Linked DNA regions of Arabidopsis thaliana. The protein of the gene in region 1 interacts with the protein of each later gene in a pairwise test. Each region holds a gene or a part of one and is shown on either strand. Other genes may lie near its edges.

Evidence for each region.
Region 2: the proteins of iqd2 (region 1) and KLCR1 interact in a two-hybrid assay, tested with the Arabidopsis thaliana proteins (one large-scale study listed by BioGRID).

What each region holds. Positions count from the first base shown.
Region 1 is NC_003076.8:709,390-717,730, reverse strand, and holds iqd2 (IQ-domain 2), read left to right. Parts: upstream 1-4,597; 5' UTR 4,598-5,177; intron 5,178-5,312; 5' UTR 5,313-5,324; coding exon 5,325-5,384; intron 5,385-5,461; coding exon 5,462-5,788; intron 5,789-5,940; coding exon 5,941-6,162; intron 6,163-6,447; coding exon 6,448-6,567; intron 6,568-6,694; coding exon 6,695-7,351; 3' UTR 7,352-7,783; downstream 7,784-8,341. Other genes in the region: AT5G03060 (striatin-like protein), read left to right, coding at 53-689, 768-1,009; AT5G03050 (knotted 1-binding protein), read left to right, coding at 1,748-1,810, 1,899-2,048, 2,125-2,198, 2,294-2,429. UniProt on the Arabidopsis thaliana protein: May be involved in cooperative interactions with calmodulins or calmodulin-like proteins. Recruits calmodulin proteins to microtubules, thus being a potential scaffold in cellular signaling and trafficking.
Region 2 is NC_003075.7:6,652,470-6,660,810, forward strand, and holds KLCR1 (Tetratricopeptide repeat (TPR)-like superfamily protein), read left to right. Parts: upstream 1-3,904; 5' UTR 3,905-4,144; coding exon 4,145-4,830; intron 4,831-4,937; coding exon 4,938-5,551; intron 5,552-5,937; coding exon 5,938-6,229; coding exon of another isoform or gene 6,230-6,233; exon of another isoform or gene 6,234-6,326; coding exon 6,327-6,564; 3' UTR 6,565-6,796; downstream 6,797-8,341.

The DNA.
Region 1 (8,341 bases):
TAAAAGCTTGACCGCTGTTTGTGTTGATATCCAGGGTTAGGGTTTCGACGTCATGACTGGAAAATCATCAGCTCGTTCAAACAAATCGGGGAAGAACAAAATCTCGTCGGTGGCTACTCCGACAAGAAGAAATTTGGTTGTTCAGGAGGAGATTTTGGCGACAAAACATGAAATTCTCAAGGAGAATTATGAGAATCTGGAAAAAGATTACAAAAGTATAGAGGAAAGTTTTAAGCAGATGAATGAAATGAACGAGATAATGAAGTTTCAATATCAGAAGCAAATTAAGGAACTCGAGGAGAAAATTCTAAGCTTGCTTAAGGATTTAGAGAAAGAGAGAAGTGAGAAAGAGGAGTATATGAAGGAGATGAAGGGAATGATCAGTGAGAAAGAGGCCATTATCAATGATTTGAGTGTTAAGAATCAGGAGCTTTTGATTGCGAAAGAGGAAGAAGTGGAGAAGCTGAAGAAGATGGAGAACAAGTATGCTGAATTGAAAGAGAGATTTGATGCGGCTGAATCACAATGTTCATTCTTGAAATCGCTTTTTGATGCTGAGAATCTCGCCGGTCTAGGGAGTAGCGATGTGGCTTTCGAAAATGAGGTTATTGTGGTGGAGGATTATAATGTGACTATCAAGAATGAGGTTATTATGGTGGATGATCATAATGTGAATAACACTCCAACAGGTATGTATGTATGTTCTTGATATGTTGGTGAACCTCTCTTGTAAGAAAATTTATTTGAATATTTTCTGTTGTGTGCAGATACGATTGTGATCCTTGACGAGAGTGATGCTGAAAATGATAATCCTCATCCAAGAGAGAGTAACATAATCTCTGAAAATTCTGTTGATGTAAAACAAGAACAACAATCAGCTGGACCAAGCTCATCAAAAGTAAATCGTCTATTGTCATCATCGTCGTCATCATCATCATCATCATCAGTTGAACATGTATTCGTTGAGCTTCCCTTTAAAAGGTCCCGGGATATTTATAACAAGTCTTGAACCTTTCTCGATGCAGTGATCACTGAGCCAGAAGAAGTTGCTCACTCTTAAGTTAAGCTAGTTTAAGGTATATCTTATCGATCCTCCGGTTTATTGTTTTTTGTTTTGTCCCGGAGGTTGTAACATTTTTTGGACGAGATAGATAAAAAAAACGATTAGTATCTGATTAGGTGAATATTTTGGCTGTATGTTTTTTGTAAAATGTTTGGATTACTCGGCTTAATATCAAATCGCATCTAAATCGCTTTGATTCTTGAGTCACTCCTCCATACTTAAAACGCCAATAGCATTGTATAAGCATAATTACTTAATTAGTGATGATTATGAAACAGAGACAATAAAATAAAATAAGTCTTAAATCTAAACGCTTATTTAAATGGATTCTCGGAATAAACAAATTGGCTTTTCTTCCTCATTCTCTACACTCACTGGACTCTCTCTAAAACTTCTTCATCTTCTTCTCTCCAATTCGTACTGAGCAATTTCTTCGATCTTCATCGCGTAAGTTCTCTGTTAATCTCTTTCGGAGGTTTTTTCGTCGATCTCGATCTAGTTTCTTCCGTTCTATTGTAGAATCCTAAGCTAGATTGTTGGGGATGTAATCGTACGGTTTTTAGATTTTGAAATCGGAATCTGCTGCGATGCTTTAGCTAGTGGATTCAATCGCATCGAGTAGAAAACTTAATTCTTAATCTGTTTATGCGTTCATGAGCATCGTTTTAAATTACTGCAGTTTTGATGAACACTGAAATGGAAGAAGACGCAGGGAATGGAGGATTTCGGAAACGCATGAGAGCATCTGTAAGTTTTTTTTGAATTTGTCGTTGATCTGGTGATGATGATTTTGTGGTGGATCAGATTTTTGATTTTGTCCTGTGAAATTTGTTAGGATGAAGAGGGAAAAGGAGATTCGAGAGATGGAATTAGCCTTGATCATACCATTGAGAATGAAGAAGCTGAGACGAAACTTGTTGCTTCTGATGAGATGGAACTTAGCATTGCGCAAATTCTCGATAAGATTGAGAGCTTCACACAAACTGTAAGCTGCTCTTATCATTTCCCTGATTGCTTAAGTTTAGGAAGAATCTGATATTGATTGATGCTTCTTGTGGTAGGTTTCTAACTTGCTGGAAACAGGGAAAACAATGCTCAAGGAACTCAGTAACGAATTCGAAGAACGCTTGATCATGTGAGTTTGAAGAGATTCTATAATGTTTCTGTATGTACCATGATTGAGATGTTTATACACTCACATGTGTAACACTGTTCACATTTATGAAACAGGATACACAAGGAACATGTTGAGAAATGGCAGGACGAGATCAAGGAGTTGCGTTTGCTTGATGCATCAAACGAGGAGACTACTTCCCTCTTACACAACGCTCGCTATCTGATTCAGAATCCTAGCATTGAGCAATGAGGTAAACAGTCTAAAACCCTATCAAGAAGTACTATCAGCCATTACTAAGAATAGATTATCTTCTGTCGTCCAGTGGTGTAAGAAGTCATATATATAACTTTAGATCAACATATGGTTGGTTTGAGAATTTAGATTTCTTCAGTTTCAAAAACTTTATGATGTTTTGAAGGAAACATAGAAATAGCTTATCATGAACCTTTCTCAGCTAATTAAAACCAGAATTGTGTTTGCTTCTTTATTAGATTTTGGAGTGAATATAGAAAATGACTCATATCTCTAGTTCGATCAAAAACCAGTAACTCTTCATTCTCTTTTGCAATTCTTAAATGTTTTTCTCAGTTCTTGTTTCAACTCAATCTCCCAAAAACTCTCATGCTGAACGTAACCCTATCTTTTAAAAAATATTATTATAAAATTGTTTTCTTATAACTATAAATATTATTTTAAATGTGTATGTTTAACTGAAAAAATAGATGAACTGAAGTAGTAACAAAAGTTGAATAGTGGTGAAATTAAATTCTCTGAGGTGATATAGATGGACATGGACTAATCTATATATGAAGTTGTAAACTGTTAATTCAATTAAATTCACTGGGAAGAAAAAGGTATGGCGTTATCATGGGTTCAGGTTTAGGTGTTAGCCAATATAGGAATCTTCTACCGTTGCTCTGTTACAAAACGACAAGACTTAAATGTCGGGTCGTTACCAAACTCACTGGCTCATCTAAATATCTTTAAAACGCTAACGGCCCTGACCTTATTTCCATGCCCCACTTACATTTCAGATAATGCCAAATGGATTTTTCGGTTCAATTTTGGTTTAGTTATCTTTTTTTTCCCCCGGTTTAATTAACTTATAAATTTCACTTGCTAGAATGCAAAGACCAACTCAAAGTTGACCGACGGGGAGAGAAATTTTCATAATAGCTTATAATTATTTTTTATTTTATTGGCAACGACAAAGTTTGAATTATACATTAGGTGGAATGTCCATATCCCCAATTCAACTACCGACTTTGGATATACAGATACCTATTAATATTATAAGTTATCAGAGGCATATCTTTATATAAACAGTTATACATAGGACTTTGATATGTTGGACATATGATTAGCTAAAATAAATTATCAAATTCCAACGGCTAGTTCTCACTTATTTTATATGAAAATAATTTTAGGGATGTTATACTAACGAAACAGAGAAGACGCCACATGGAGTGATTGGACATATATATGCTTTTTTTTTTTTTTTTTTTTTTTCTTAACCACAAAAATTACAGGAAGACTGGTACAAGCTGGCCACCGATAAGGAACCTTTTGGGTTTATCTCCGAAAAAAGTCAATGATTTCAGGCAGATAATACTTAATCCAGTGGACAAAAATTATATACTCTTTCAATCATCGTTCTAGTTCACTGTATGTCAATCCATATAATTTGGGAAATTGCTTTTGTGGTGGATATACACGATCATAGAGCAAAATACAGTCTGCTAATAGCTGTTGCATAAAACGAGTTTTTCCAAAGCATTATTTATGGTTTGTGTCACTAGGTATTATGAGTCAAATATTTTCTTTGTTCATCCATCGGAGATTAACTTAGTAGTGTGGGTGGATCTGAACATAAAATATGATATGGTGTACAAGTACAATGACCAACTAATTTTCATGATTTATCAAATCCAGAAAGTATTAAGTATCGTATATGGTGGCTTGTTAACGAGTATATTTTAAAATGATAAAGGCTGTCTCACTGGTGGACATATTTTGTTCACATGTTTTGTCGGTTGTAGTAATGTAAGCGTGTATTAAAACACACATACTTTATACGGATTATGCAGATGAATTAATTCGATAAACAATTGGTATTTGACGACAAAAAATACGATCTTAAATCTTAATTCGATTAATAACAGATATTTAACGGCAAAAATATAGTGTTATATTTTAACCCGCCTAAAGACAAAAATTAAAGACGAATAAAAACTTTTTATTGCAACAATTTTGTTTTATTAGGTGAAATTAAAGACCAATCTTACCGGATAAAGTTATAAATTAATTTAAAATTTATATGGTCACTGTTTTATCGATCCTCATAACTTGTTCATTAAATTATCTAGTTTCAAAAAAGGTACAAAATCCAATACATTTTCCAGTTTACACGTTATCCATATTTTAAGAAAATTTCAAACATTTTTAGAGAAAACACCAATATACCATGTCAACTATGTATACTATTTTTGAAATGCACCAAATAATAATAAATCTAAAGATACTATACTATAAAAAGAAAAATTAACAAAACAGTGTTTATGAAACTTAAGAAATAAAACTCATCACTAAAAAAAAAAAGTGAAAAGAATAGAGTAAAAGAGAGACGAAGTTGGTAAATTAAGAAGAAGAAAAGGAAAAAAAGAAGAGTAGAATGGGGCCCACAAAAGAGGCCCAATTAAGTGGCATCACGCACAAACACACACCGTCACAAATACTCTTCTTCACACAGCTTTGAATCCATCTGTCTTCTCCTCTCTCTCTCTTCTCCATTTGCAATTATGATAATGTGAAAGCAATTCGAAGAAGAAAAGTTATCTTCGCACCTCAGCAAAGATCCAATCGATTCGATTCTTAAGCTTTTTCGTCTTCTCCGATAAGGTCACTACTTAGAAGCCGCGTTGTGGTTTAGTTGACTCCTCCAGGTTTTATCTTCAAGCTTTTTCGTCTATCAGATCTGGTGTCACTGTCTTCTCATAGGTACGATTCATTCTCTCCCTGATTCAGTATCAATTGGTGAATTTTAGCTCTAGATTTCGAGATCTGTCGTAATTTAGCTACTGAGATCAGTAGATTCAGTTTCCTTGTGGAATAATTTGTTTCTTCTCTGTGAAGGATTACATAGAGATGGGGAAAAAAGCTAAATGGTTTTCAAGTGTTAAGAAAGCATTCAGCCCAGATTCAAAGGTGAAGTTTTTTTTTTTGTATATTGATGTGACTTAATGTTATAGTCTGTATATATTGACATGTTGATGTGTTTTCAGAAGTCGAAGCAAAAATTGGCTGAGGGACAAAATGGTGTTATCTCTAATCCTCCTGTTGTGGATAATGTTAGACAATCTTCTTCTTCTCCTCCTCCTGCTCTTGCTCCTCGTGAAGTGAGAGTAGCTGAAGTGATTGTTGAACGGAACAGGGATCTTTCACCTCCTTCTACAGCAGATGCTGTGAATGTTACAGCTACTGATGTTCCTGTAGTTCCATCTTCATCTGCTCCTGGTGTTGTTCGTCGCGCTACACCTACTCGATTTGCTGGAAAGTCAAACGAAGAAGCCGCTGCTATCTTGATCCAGACTATATTTAGAGGTTATTTGGTATGTAATTCTACTCTTGCAATTGGCTTTATTATCTGCAGAAACTTAATTCCTTCGGAATTTCGTATGAGTTTGACCGAGGCACTTGATTTTGTGTGAAGGAAGCTGCTTTGTTGAGTATAATCTTATTTTGTGTAATATCTGAAATACAGGCAAGGAGAGCGTTGCGGGCAATGAGGGGTTTGGTCAGACTTAAGTTATTGATGGAAGGATCTGTTGTTAAGCGGCAAGCTGCAAATACTCTAAAATGTATGCAGACTCTCTCTCGTGTACAGTCGCAGATCCGAGCTAGGAGAATCAGGATGTCAGAAGAGAATCAGGCTCGCCAGAAACAACTCCTTCAGAAACATGCTAAAGAGCTAGCTGGCTTGAAGGTCTGTCTCTCATATTCATCTGATTCAGTTTTTTTCTTGTTATTCAAAGTTTCTTCCGTTGTTTTTGGTGAGAGGATTGCTAAGAAGTAAGAACTGTTGATTTCTTCCTAGCAGTTGCTATTATGTTTCTGCTTATTAGTCTGGAAAGGGTTAATAGTAGCATTACCATTCATATCAAATAGATGTTTACTTACACTATCAATTTACTGTCTCTTTTTTTATCTGAAAATGGAATCTTTGGGCCTTTGCTTATAAAAGTACTATTTTTCCTGTTGCTGCTCACAGAACGGGGATAACTGGAATGATAGCATTCAATCAAAGGAGAAAGTTGAAGCGAATTTGCTAAGCAAGTACGAGGCAACAATGAGAAGGGAAAGGGCATTGGCTTATTCATACTCTCATCAGGTACTCCAGTCGTTACCTATAATGCTGAATGTGTGGAAAGATACAATTAAAAAGTGAACACATCCATTGAAGTTGAATCTGTGGTTCATTTGAATGTTGTAATGATCCTATATGTTCATGTTTGCAGCAAAACTGGAAGAACAACTCTAAATCTGGAAACCCGATGTTCATGGATCCAAGCAACCCGACATGGGGTTGGAGCTGGTTAGAGAGATGGATGGCTGGTAGGCCACTAGAGAGTTCCGAGAAAGAACAAAGCAACAGCAACAATGACAATGCTGCCTCGGTCAAGGGCTCTATTAACCGCAACGAAGCTGCAAAATCTCTAACCCGCAATGGCTCAACTCAACCAAACACACCATCATCCGCAAGAGGGACCCCAAGAAACAAAAACAGTTTCTTCTCACCTCCAACTCCCTCAAGGCTAAACCAATCCTCGAGGAAATCCAATGACGACGACTCCAAAAGCACAATCTCGGTCCTGTCCGAGAGGAACCGCAGACACAGCATTGCTGGTTCATCAGTCAGAGACGATGAGAGCCTCGCTGGCTCACCAGCTCTCCCGAGCTACATGGTTCCAACTAAATCAGCTCGAGCCAGGCTCAAGCCCCAAAGCCCATTAGGTGGTACCACACAGGAAAACGAAGGGTTCACAGACAAGGCATCAGCTAAGAAACGGCTCTCGTATCCAACTTCGCCTGCATTGCCTAAACCACGGCGGTTCTCAGCTCCCCCTAAGGTGGAGAGTGGCGGCGTTACCGTGACCAACGGAGCAGGCAGCTGAGGTATTTTATTTAATATAATTATTTTCCCACTTATGAATGTGTCCGAGATTGTTGTCTCTTATGTGTTCCCTTCATTTCGTAATTCATTTGTGCAGTGTAAGCGCCAGTCATTTATTTTTTTACTATAATAAATTTTATAACCTTTTAAAATTCATGTTCTTTTGTTTCTTTGAATATTTAAGTTATTTTTATTAATGTTGGATGAATTGGAATATGATGATGTTATTTGTATTGTAATGCAGATCCTTTAAAGCTTAATTAATTTGTAATACCTTTTATTTGTAGTCGTAAATATCTTATTCTACGTTAGGTTGTGCTTGTATGTACTATGAACTATGAATATCTGTGCTTGTATGTTTTTCCTTCAAAAAATATTCATATCTTTTTTACTTGTAATCGCAAACATAATCCTGTCAAAGAATCTTTGAAGATTCCCTTTTTTTATTTACTTGGCGAGAAATCAAACATTCTCTGGAAGATTAGGTATAGTACTTTGCCTTGGCGGCGATATGAAAGGAACAAAACTGTATACCAAACCCTCCGGTAGAGGAAGAGGGGTTTTGACCTTTTCTTACAAAAATGGTCGGTTTTGACTTACTTAACCGACAAATTTGTTGAACCGACAAATTTGTTGAACCGACAGTATTAAATAGAAAAGAAGAAGGAAGTTCTCTTCAAACCGACCTCCTGCCCACGCAAAAAAAAAACAAAAAAAAAGCAGCAGCGAATTTTTATTTCTCTCCTCCCAGAACCCTAAACCCATTCCCCAATTCGATCGAGAAACTCGACAATCGAAGAATTTATCAGGAAATTTTGTTTTTTTTATTCCGATTGAGTTTTCTCCGAACAACTACTTAGCTGAATAATGGTAAGTTTTTTTGGTCTGATCTTGTTTCCGTTTAAGCTGGATTAATCTATTTCTCTCTCTCGCTCTGAATTATTGTAGGAGTATCTTGAAATTCTAGTCAGTCTTGTTCGTTTGTAATCGA
Region 2 (8,341 bases), on another chromosome or scaffold:
CTCATACGGTGAAGTGTTGTTTAGATAGAGCGTTCATCAACTCTGAAGGAGCATTCTTATTCCCCTTTGCTGAGTTGGAATTTCTTGAGTTCACAGGATCTGATCACAAACCATTATTCCTATCTCTCGAAAAAACTGAAACAAGAAAGATGCGACCATTTCGTTTTGACAAACGACTTCTTGAGGTGCCACACTTCAAAACATATGTCAAAGCTGGTTGGAATAAGGCGATCAATGGTCAGAGAAAACACCTTCCGGATCAAGTAAGGACCTGCAGACAGGCGATGGCAAAGTTGAAACATAAATCTAATTTGAATTCCCGAATCCGGATAAACCAACTCCAAGCGGCTTTAGATAAAGCTATGTCAAGTGTTAATAGAACGGAGAGACGAACTATATCACATATACAGAGAGAGCTCACCGTTGCTTACCGTGATGAAGAGAGATATTGGCAACAAAAAAGTAGAAACCAATGGATGAAAGAAGGAGACCGCAACACAGAATTTTTTCATGCTTGTACCAAAACAAGATTTTCTGTGAATCGTTTAGTGACAATTAAGGATGAGGAGGGAATGATTTATCGGGGTGACAAAGAGATAGGGGTTCATGCTCAGGAGTTCTTTACAAAGGTTTATGAGAGCAATGGTCGTCCTGTTTCAATCATTGATTTTGCGGGTTTCAAACCTATAGTGACAGAGCAAATAAATGACGATCTCACAAAGGACTTAAGTGATTTGGAAATTTATAACGCCATTTGTCATATAGGAGATGACAAAGCACCGGGTCCTGATGGTCTAACAGCTCGTTTCTATAAGTCTTGTTGGGAGATTGTTGGTCCGGATGTGATAAAAGAGGTTAAAATTTTTTTCAGGACATCATACATGAAACAATCAATAAATCACACAAATATATGTATGATACCTAAAATTACAAACCCTGAAACACTTTCTGACTATCGCCCCATTGCATTATGTAATGTTCTCTACAAGATTATTTCTAAATGTCTTGTAGAACGACTAAAAGGCCATCTAGATGCAATTGTTTCAGACTCTCAGGCTGCCTTTATCCCGGGAAGGTTAGTTAATGATAACGTTATGATCGCACACGAAATGATGCACTCTCTGAAAACAAGGAAACGAGTCTCTCAATCCTATATGGCGGTTAAGACAGATGTGAGTAAGGCGTATGATAGAGTGGAGTGGAATTTTTTGGAGACAACGATGAGACTATTTGGTTTCAGCGAGACATGGATCAAATGGATAATGGGAGCAGTGAAATCAGTCAACTACTCAGTTTTAGTGAATGGCATACCTCATGGCACAATTCAACCACAACGTGGAATAAGACAAGGAGATCCCTTATCTCCATATCTCTTCATTCTATGTGCTGATATACTCAACCATCTTATTAAAAACAGAGTAGCGGAAGGGGATATTCGAGGTATCCGAATTGGTAATGGTGTTCCTGGTGTTACTCATCTACAATTTGCGGATGACTCTCTTTTTTTCTGCCAATCTAATGTCCGAAACTGCCAAGCTTTAAAGGATGTCTTTGATGTTTATGAGTACTATTCGGGCCAAAAAATTAATATGTCCAAATCAATGATAACGTTTGGTTCACGAGTACATGGCACCACTCAAAATCGTCTCAAAAACATTCTTGGTATACAAAGTCATGGTGGAGGTGGGAAATATCTTGGGCTCCCGGAGCAATTTGGGCGGAAAAAACGAGACATGTTCAACTATATCATTGAAAGAGTAAAGAAACGAACATCCAGTTGGAGTGCGAAATATTTATCACCGGCAGGAAAAGAAATTATGTTAAAATCAGTGGCGATGTCGATGCCGGTGTATGCAATGTCTTGCTTCAAATTACCATTGAATATCGTTTCGGAGATTGAAGCTCTTTTAATGAATTTCTGGTGGGAAAAGAATGCAAAAAAAAGAGAAATACCATGGATAGCTTGGAAGAGATTACAATACTCGAAAAAGGAAGGTGGTTTAGGGTTTAGAGATTTGGCTAAATTCAATGACGCTTTACTTGCAAAACAAGTATGGCGGATGATTAACAACCCAAATTCTTTATTTGCCCGAATAATGAAAGCAAGATACTTTAGAGAAGACTCTATTCTGGACGCTAAAAGGCAGAGATATCAATCTTACGGATGGACTTCTATGCTTGCGGGTTTAGATGTAATTAAAAAAGGAAGCAGATTCATTGTCGGAGATGGCAAAACCGTTTGAATCAGTCAAGATAATTTTATTGCATCGCACCCTCCACGACCTCTCAACGTCGTCACTCCTACGTTGGATATCACGGTGGATACGTTAATCTCAACTCAGGGTTCGTATAGGTATTGGAACGCACATCTCATTTCTCAGCTTGTTAGTCCCGACGACCACCGTTTTGTTATGAACCATCATCTTTCCAGGATTGTGCATCAAGATAAGCTAGTTTGGAACTACTCTTCTTCTGGGGATTATACAGTTAAGTCCGGGTACTGGTTTCTCTTTAATGACCCAACGAATATTTAGGTTAGACCAGTGGTGCCTCATGGTTCAGTGGAAATTAAGAACAAGCTTTGGAAACTCCCTATTATTCCAAAAATCAAGTACATGCTTTGGCGTACAATCTCAAAAGCATTACCAACACGCTCGCGACTTCTCACTCGAGGAATGGACATCGATCCACACTGCCCCAGATGCCCAACTGAAGAAGAGACGATAAACCATGTTTTATTTACGTGTCCTTATGCTGCGTCAATTTGGGGTCTATCAAACTTCCCTTGGTTACCGGGTCATACTTTCTCTCAAGACACAGAGGAGAATATTTCTTTCCTTATCAATTCTTTTTCAAACAATACTCTGAATACAGAGCAAAGGTTGGCCCCATTTTGGCTCATATGGAGATTATGGAAAGCACGCAATAATCTTGTGTTTAATAAGTTCAGTGAAAGTTGCTCAAGGGTTGTGACACAAACTGAAGCAGAAGTCAATGAATGGTTACAAAGTGTGAACCGAAGAGAGGACGCTTCCGTTTTAACACGATCATCACACAGGGCAAACGTGCGGTGGAAGAAACCGGTCTTTCCTTTAGTAAAGTGCAACTTCGATGCGGGTTTCACGGGTAATAATACTCAGAGTACGGGAGGGTGGATCATACGTGATCATGCAGGATTAGCGAAGGCTTGGGGATCATCAATAGTCTAAAATGGTACCACTGCTTTGGAAGCTGAGACAAAAGCGTTATTAATCGCAATGCAACAAGCATGGGTACGAGGGTATAAGTGTGTTCAGTTCGAAGGTGATTGTGAGATCCTTATCAAGGCAATTAATGGTGCAATTTCTAGATGTGAAATAACCAGTCTTCTCCGAGATGTGGATTTTTGGGCATCAAGATTTTCTACTGTGGTTTTCACTTTCACAAATAGACTCTGTAATAATACTGCTCACCTCTTAGCTTCTCCACTTTATTCGTGTTACAAGTTTCAATCGAATTCTGGTTATCAGCCACTTTGGCTCAAAAACTCTCTTTGTAAAGATTTACTCATATAAATAAATTCTGTTTGTTGGAAAAAAAGAAAAAAAAAAAACCTACATTCTAAATACTGAAACCATAAACCATATGGTAAAAAGTGGATAAATGCTCAACTATCTCCATTTCAATATACACATCATAAAAAAGATTTATATTCAATTTATTGTAAAATGAAAACTTAGATTGCATTACTTTTTTTAACTCTCTTCTCTAATTTAATTTACTATCTAAATTTGTGAGTTCATAAAATTTTAGATTGAGAACAATTCATCAGAAATTCTGATTCAGAACAGTACAAATCTTGTCATGCAAACTTATCTATCTTGTAAAATCTATCTATCACTTGTCGTCACTAAGTACAAAATCTATTTTAGTTTGTTTTTTTTGTGTGTAAGAAAAGTTTTTTTATTTAATAATCTATCACCAATATTTTCCAACACAACATGACCGTTATCTCCTCCAATCTAAAACTTAATTACGAAACTACCCTTACCTCTTTCACTGACTGACTCGTCTCCTTCTCCACTTGGATCTCAAAAGTCCGATCCAAAACCAAATCCGCCATAACTCTCTCTCTCTCTCCCACTTCCCACAGAGAGACACATTCATGCCAGCAATGCCAGGTCTCGTCTCAGTCAAAACTCCTTCCGATACACCGCCGCTACGTGTAGCCGTACCAGACACGCAACCTCTCTCAAACCCGCCGCGAACTCCGATGAAGAAAACCCCTTCCTCTACACCATCTCGATCCAAACCATCACCAAATAGATCCACCGGCAAAAAAGATTCCCCAACCGTATCCTCCTCCACCGCAGCCGTAATCGACGTCGACGATCCATCTCTAGATAATCCAGATCTCGGTCCTTTCCTTCTAAAATTAGCTCGTGACGCTATTGCTTCTGGTGAAGGTCCTAACAAAGCATTAGATTACGCGATCCGAGCAACTAAGTCCTTTGAGAGATGTTGCGCCGCCGTTGCTCCGCCTATTCCCGGTGGTAGCGATGGTGGACCTGTTCTTGATCTCGCTATGAGCCTTCATGTTCTCGCTGCTATTTACTGTAGTCTCGGCCGATTTGATGAAGCTGTACCACCTCTTGAACGAGCTATTCAAGTCCCTGATCCGACTCGTGGCCCTGACCACTCTCTCGCTGCGTTTTCTGGTCATATGCAACTTGGTGATACGTTGTCTATGCTTGGTCAGATTGATAGATCTATTGCTTGTTATGAAGAAGGTCTTAAGATCCAGATCCAGACTTTGGGTGATACTGATCCACGAGTTGGTGAAACTTGCAGGTTCTCTTAACTAAGCATTTAATGGTTAATTAAACTCTTAGATTACGTTTGCTAAAAGTTACTATATAGGTTAGATCTAAGTTTCTGAAGTCTCTGATAATTTTCAGGTACTTAGCAGAAGCATATGTTCAAGCAATGCAGTTCAATAAAGCGGAAGAGTTATGCAAGAAGACTCTAGAGATTCACCGAGCGCATAGTGAACCTGCTTCACTGGAGGAAGCAGCTGATAGGAGATTGATGGCAATTATCTGCGAGGCTAAAGGAGATTATGAAAACGCTCTTGAGCATCTTGTTCTTGCTAGTATGGCTATGATTGCGAGTGGACAAGAATCTGAGGTTGCATCGATTGATGTTAGTATTGGGAATATTTACATGTCGCTGTGCCGGTTTGATGAAGCTGTGTTTTCATATCAGAAGGCTCTTACTGTGTTTAAGGCTTCTAAAGGAGAGACTCATCCGACGGTTGCGTCAGTGTTTGTTAGATTGGCTGAGCTTTACCATAGAACAGGGAAACTTCGTGAGTCTAAGTCTTACTGTGAGAATGCGTTGAGGATATACAATAAGCCGGTGCCTGGGACAACTGTGGAGGAGATTGCTGGTGGATTAACTGAGATTTCTGCTATTTATGAGTCTGTAGATGAACCTGAGGAAGCATTGAAGCTACTTCAGAAGTCTATGAAATTGCTTGAGGATAAGCCAGGACAGCAGAGCGCCATTGCAGGTAAATTTTTTGTCCATACCATGAATGTTCCTTTAGCTGGATTGCTATGCAGTGTATTGAAATTGTGCGATTTTGGTCTCGAATTGTATGTAAAGTACTGATTTTTGTATTGTTAATCATGTAAGGAAAAGTCGCTTATAGTAACTTTACTCGTTTTGCTGCTCTGAATCTACCGGTTTTAGAGTTAGCCAATACGCTAATTTGTAATTGTGTGTTAGTGATATTGTCGAAGAATTCTAGAAATAAGAGATCTAATTACTTATCTGAGGTATTTTTAGGGAAGTAGATTGTGATCGTACAAGAATTCGAGTCTTTAGCATGACATTGTCAATCTTCTCGTCAAGCTTCCTTTACATCTGTTTTGCTTTGTATGTAAATATTTGCAGGGTTAGAGGCACGGATGGGAGTTATGTATTACACAGTGGGGAGGTACGAGGACGCAAGAAACGCGTTTGAGAGCGCTGTGACAAAGCTACGGGCAGCAGGTGAGAAATCTGCCTTCTTCGGTGTTGTATTAAACCAGATGGGACTAGCCTGCGTTCAGCTTTTCAAGATTGATGAAGCGGGTGAGCTGTTTGAAGAAGCAAGAGGTATTCTTGAACAAGAACGTGGACCGTGCGATCAGGACACTCTCGGTGTTTATAGCAATCTAGCTGCTACCTATGACGCTATGGGAAGGTAAAGTCCTAAAGAAAACTATCTGACTATGTAATTAGATCAGACATCCTTAATGAAACATTAAAGTCTTTCTTCGTGATGGCTATGTAATTTGCAGGATAGAGGATGCGATTGAGATATTAGAGCAGGTTCTGAAGCTGAGAGAGGAAAAGCTCGGGACTGCGAATCCGGATTTTGAAGACGAGAAGAAACGTTTGGCCGAGCTTTTGAAGGAAGCTGGGCGGTCGCGGAACTACAAAGCCAAGTCGCTCCAGAATCTGATTGATCCAAATGCAAGACCTCCGAAGAAAGAGTCTTCTGCTAAGAAATGGCCCAGCCTCGGTTTCAAGTTCTGAGGAAAAAATTATCATATAAAATAAATCATCCACATATATATTCAATATTTTATTTTATTGTTATTGTTATATTTTTTATCTGATCTATTTTCTGTATCATAATCTGAGGTTGATGAATTAATTTCATGTATAGTGTTTTTATTTGAGTTTGGTGAAATACTGCCAAGATGGTGAGCTGTTTGTTTGAGTTTGAAATTTCTTTAATTCAATCACTTTTTTCTTCTTCTGATAATTATATTTTCTCGTGAATGTTTGTTCTACGTGATATTTTGTACAAATATGAAGTAAAATACTAAAATGTGATAAAATCTATCACTAAATGCATTTTGAAAACTATTTATTGGATGTATCCTTTAATATTTTGTGCATTCATGTCTTGTCTTTTTATCGTAAACAGTTGTATCTGTTAAAATATTGGGGGTATTTTTTTACAATCGTGTCTTTTCATCGAAAACAGTTGTGTCTGTTAAAATATTGATGGTTACTTTATTACATTCGTATTTTTTTAATCATAAACAGTTGTGTCTGTTAAAATATTGATGGTTACTTTATTACATTCGTATTTTTTCATCATAAACAGTTGTGTCTGTTAAAATATTGACGATTATTTTTTTTACAACCGTGTCTTTTCATCATAAACAGTTGTGTCTATTAAAATATTAACAGTTACTTTCTACATTCGTGTCTTTTCATCATAAATAGTTGTCTGTTAAAAGATTGACGGTTACTTTTTTTACATTCGTATATTTTTATCGTAACTTTTGGTTAACATTGAAAGTTATTTTTTTCGTTAATGTCTTTTTATCGCAACTTCTCGTAAAACTGATTTTCATCGTAAACAGTTGTGTTTGTTAAAATATTGACGGTTACTTTTTTTTCATTCATATCTTTTTATCGTAAACAGTTGTGTCGATTAGAATATTTACGGTTTTTTTTTTTTTACATTCGTGTCTTTTTATCTTTATTTTTGGTTAATATTGACGGTCCTTTTTTTCATTAGTGTCTTTTTATCGCAACTTTTCGTAAAATTGTATTTTTATCGTAAATTGTGTCTGTTAAAATATCGATGGTTATTTTTTTACATTCGTGTCTTTTCATCATAACTTTTTGAAATATAGTTAATTTTTCTATTAGCGTCTTTTTATCACAGTAAAAATATTTAGGGTTATTTTTCAATTGTTGTTTCTCTTTATTGCAACTTTTCGTTATAATATTGATAATTATATTTTTTGTTTGTGTCTGTTCATAGCATCTTTCCTGACGAATAGTTGTCTACTTAAATGTTTGTAATTGTTGAACTGTATCTATTCGTCATTCTTCTTAAGTAATTTCTAAATATTTGATCTTTACCATAAATTATTTGCTTTATGATGAATCTAAAAAATTGTCTTTGCATTTCTGAACGGTTGTATTTTATTATCGCAACATTTGGTTAAAATGCTGACGGTTATTTATGTGTTCATGTCTTTTTATCGTAACTTTCTGCTAACATTGACGATTATTTTTTTTGTTAGTATATTTTTATCGCAACTTTTCGTTTGTATCAGTCATTTTAATATTGATGGTTAGTTTTCGGTTGGGACAACTACTTTTTTTGTTTGTGTCTTTTTATCATAAATTTCTATTTACATTGACGGTTATTTTTTCGTTTGTGTCTTTTTATCGTAACTTCGTAAAACAATTGACTTTTATTTTTTCTTGGTTGTATCTCTTTATTGCAATTTTCCGCTATAATATTGATGGTTGTTTTTTGGTTGTGTCTCATTTATCGCAACTT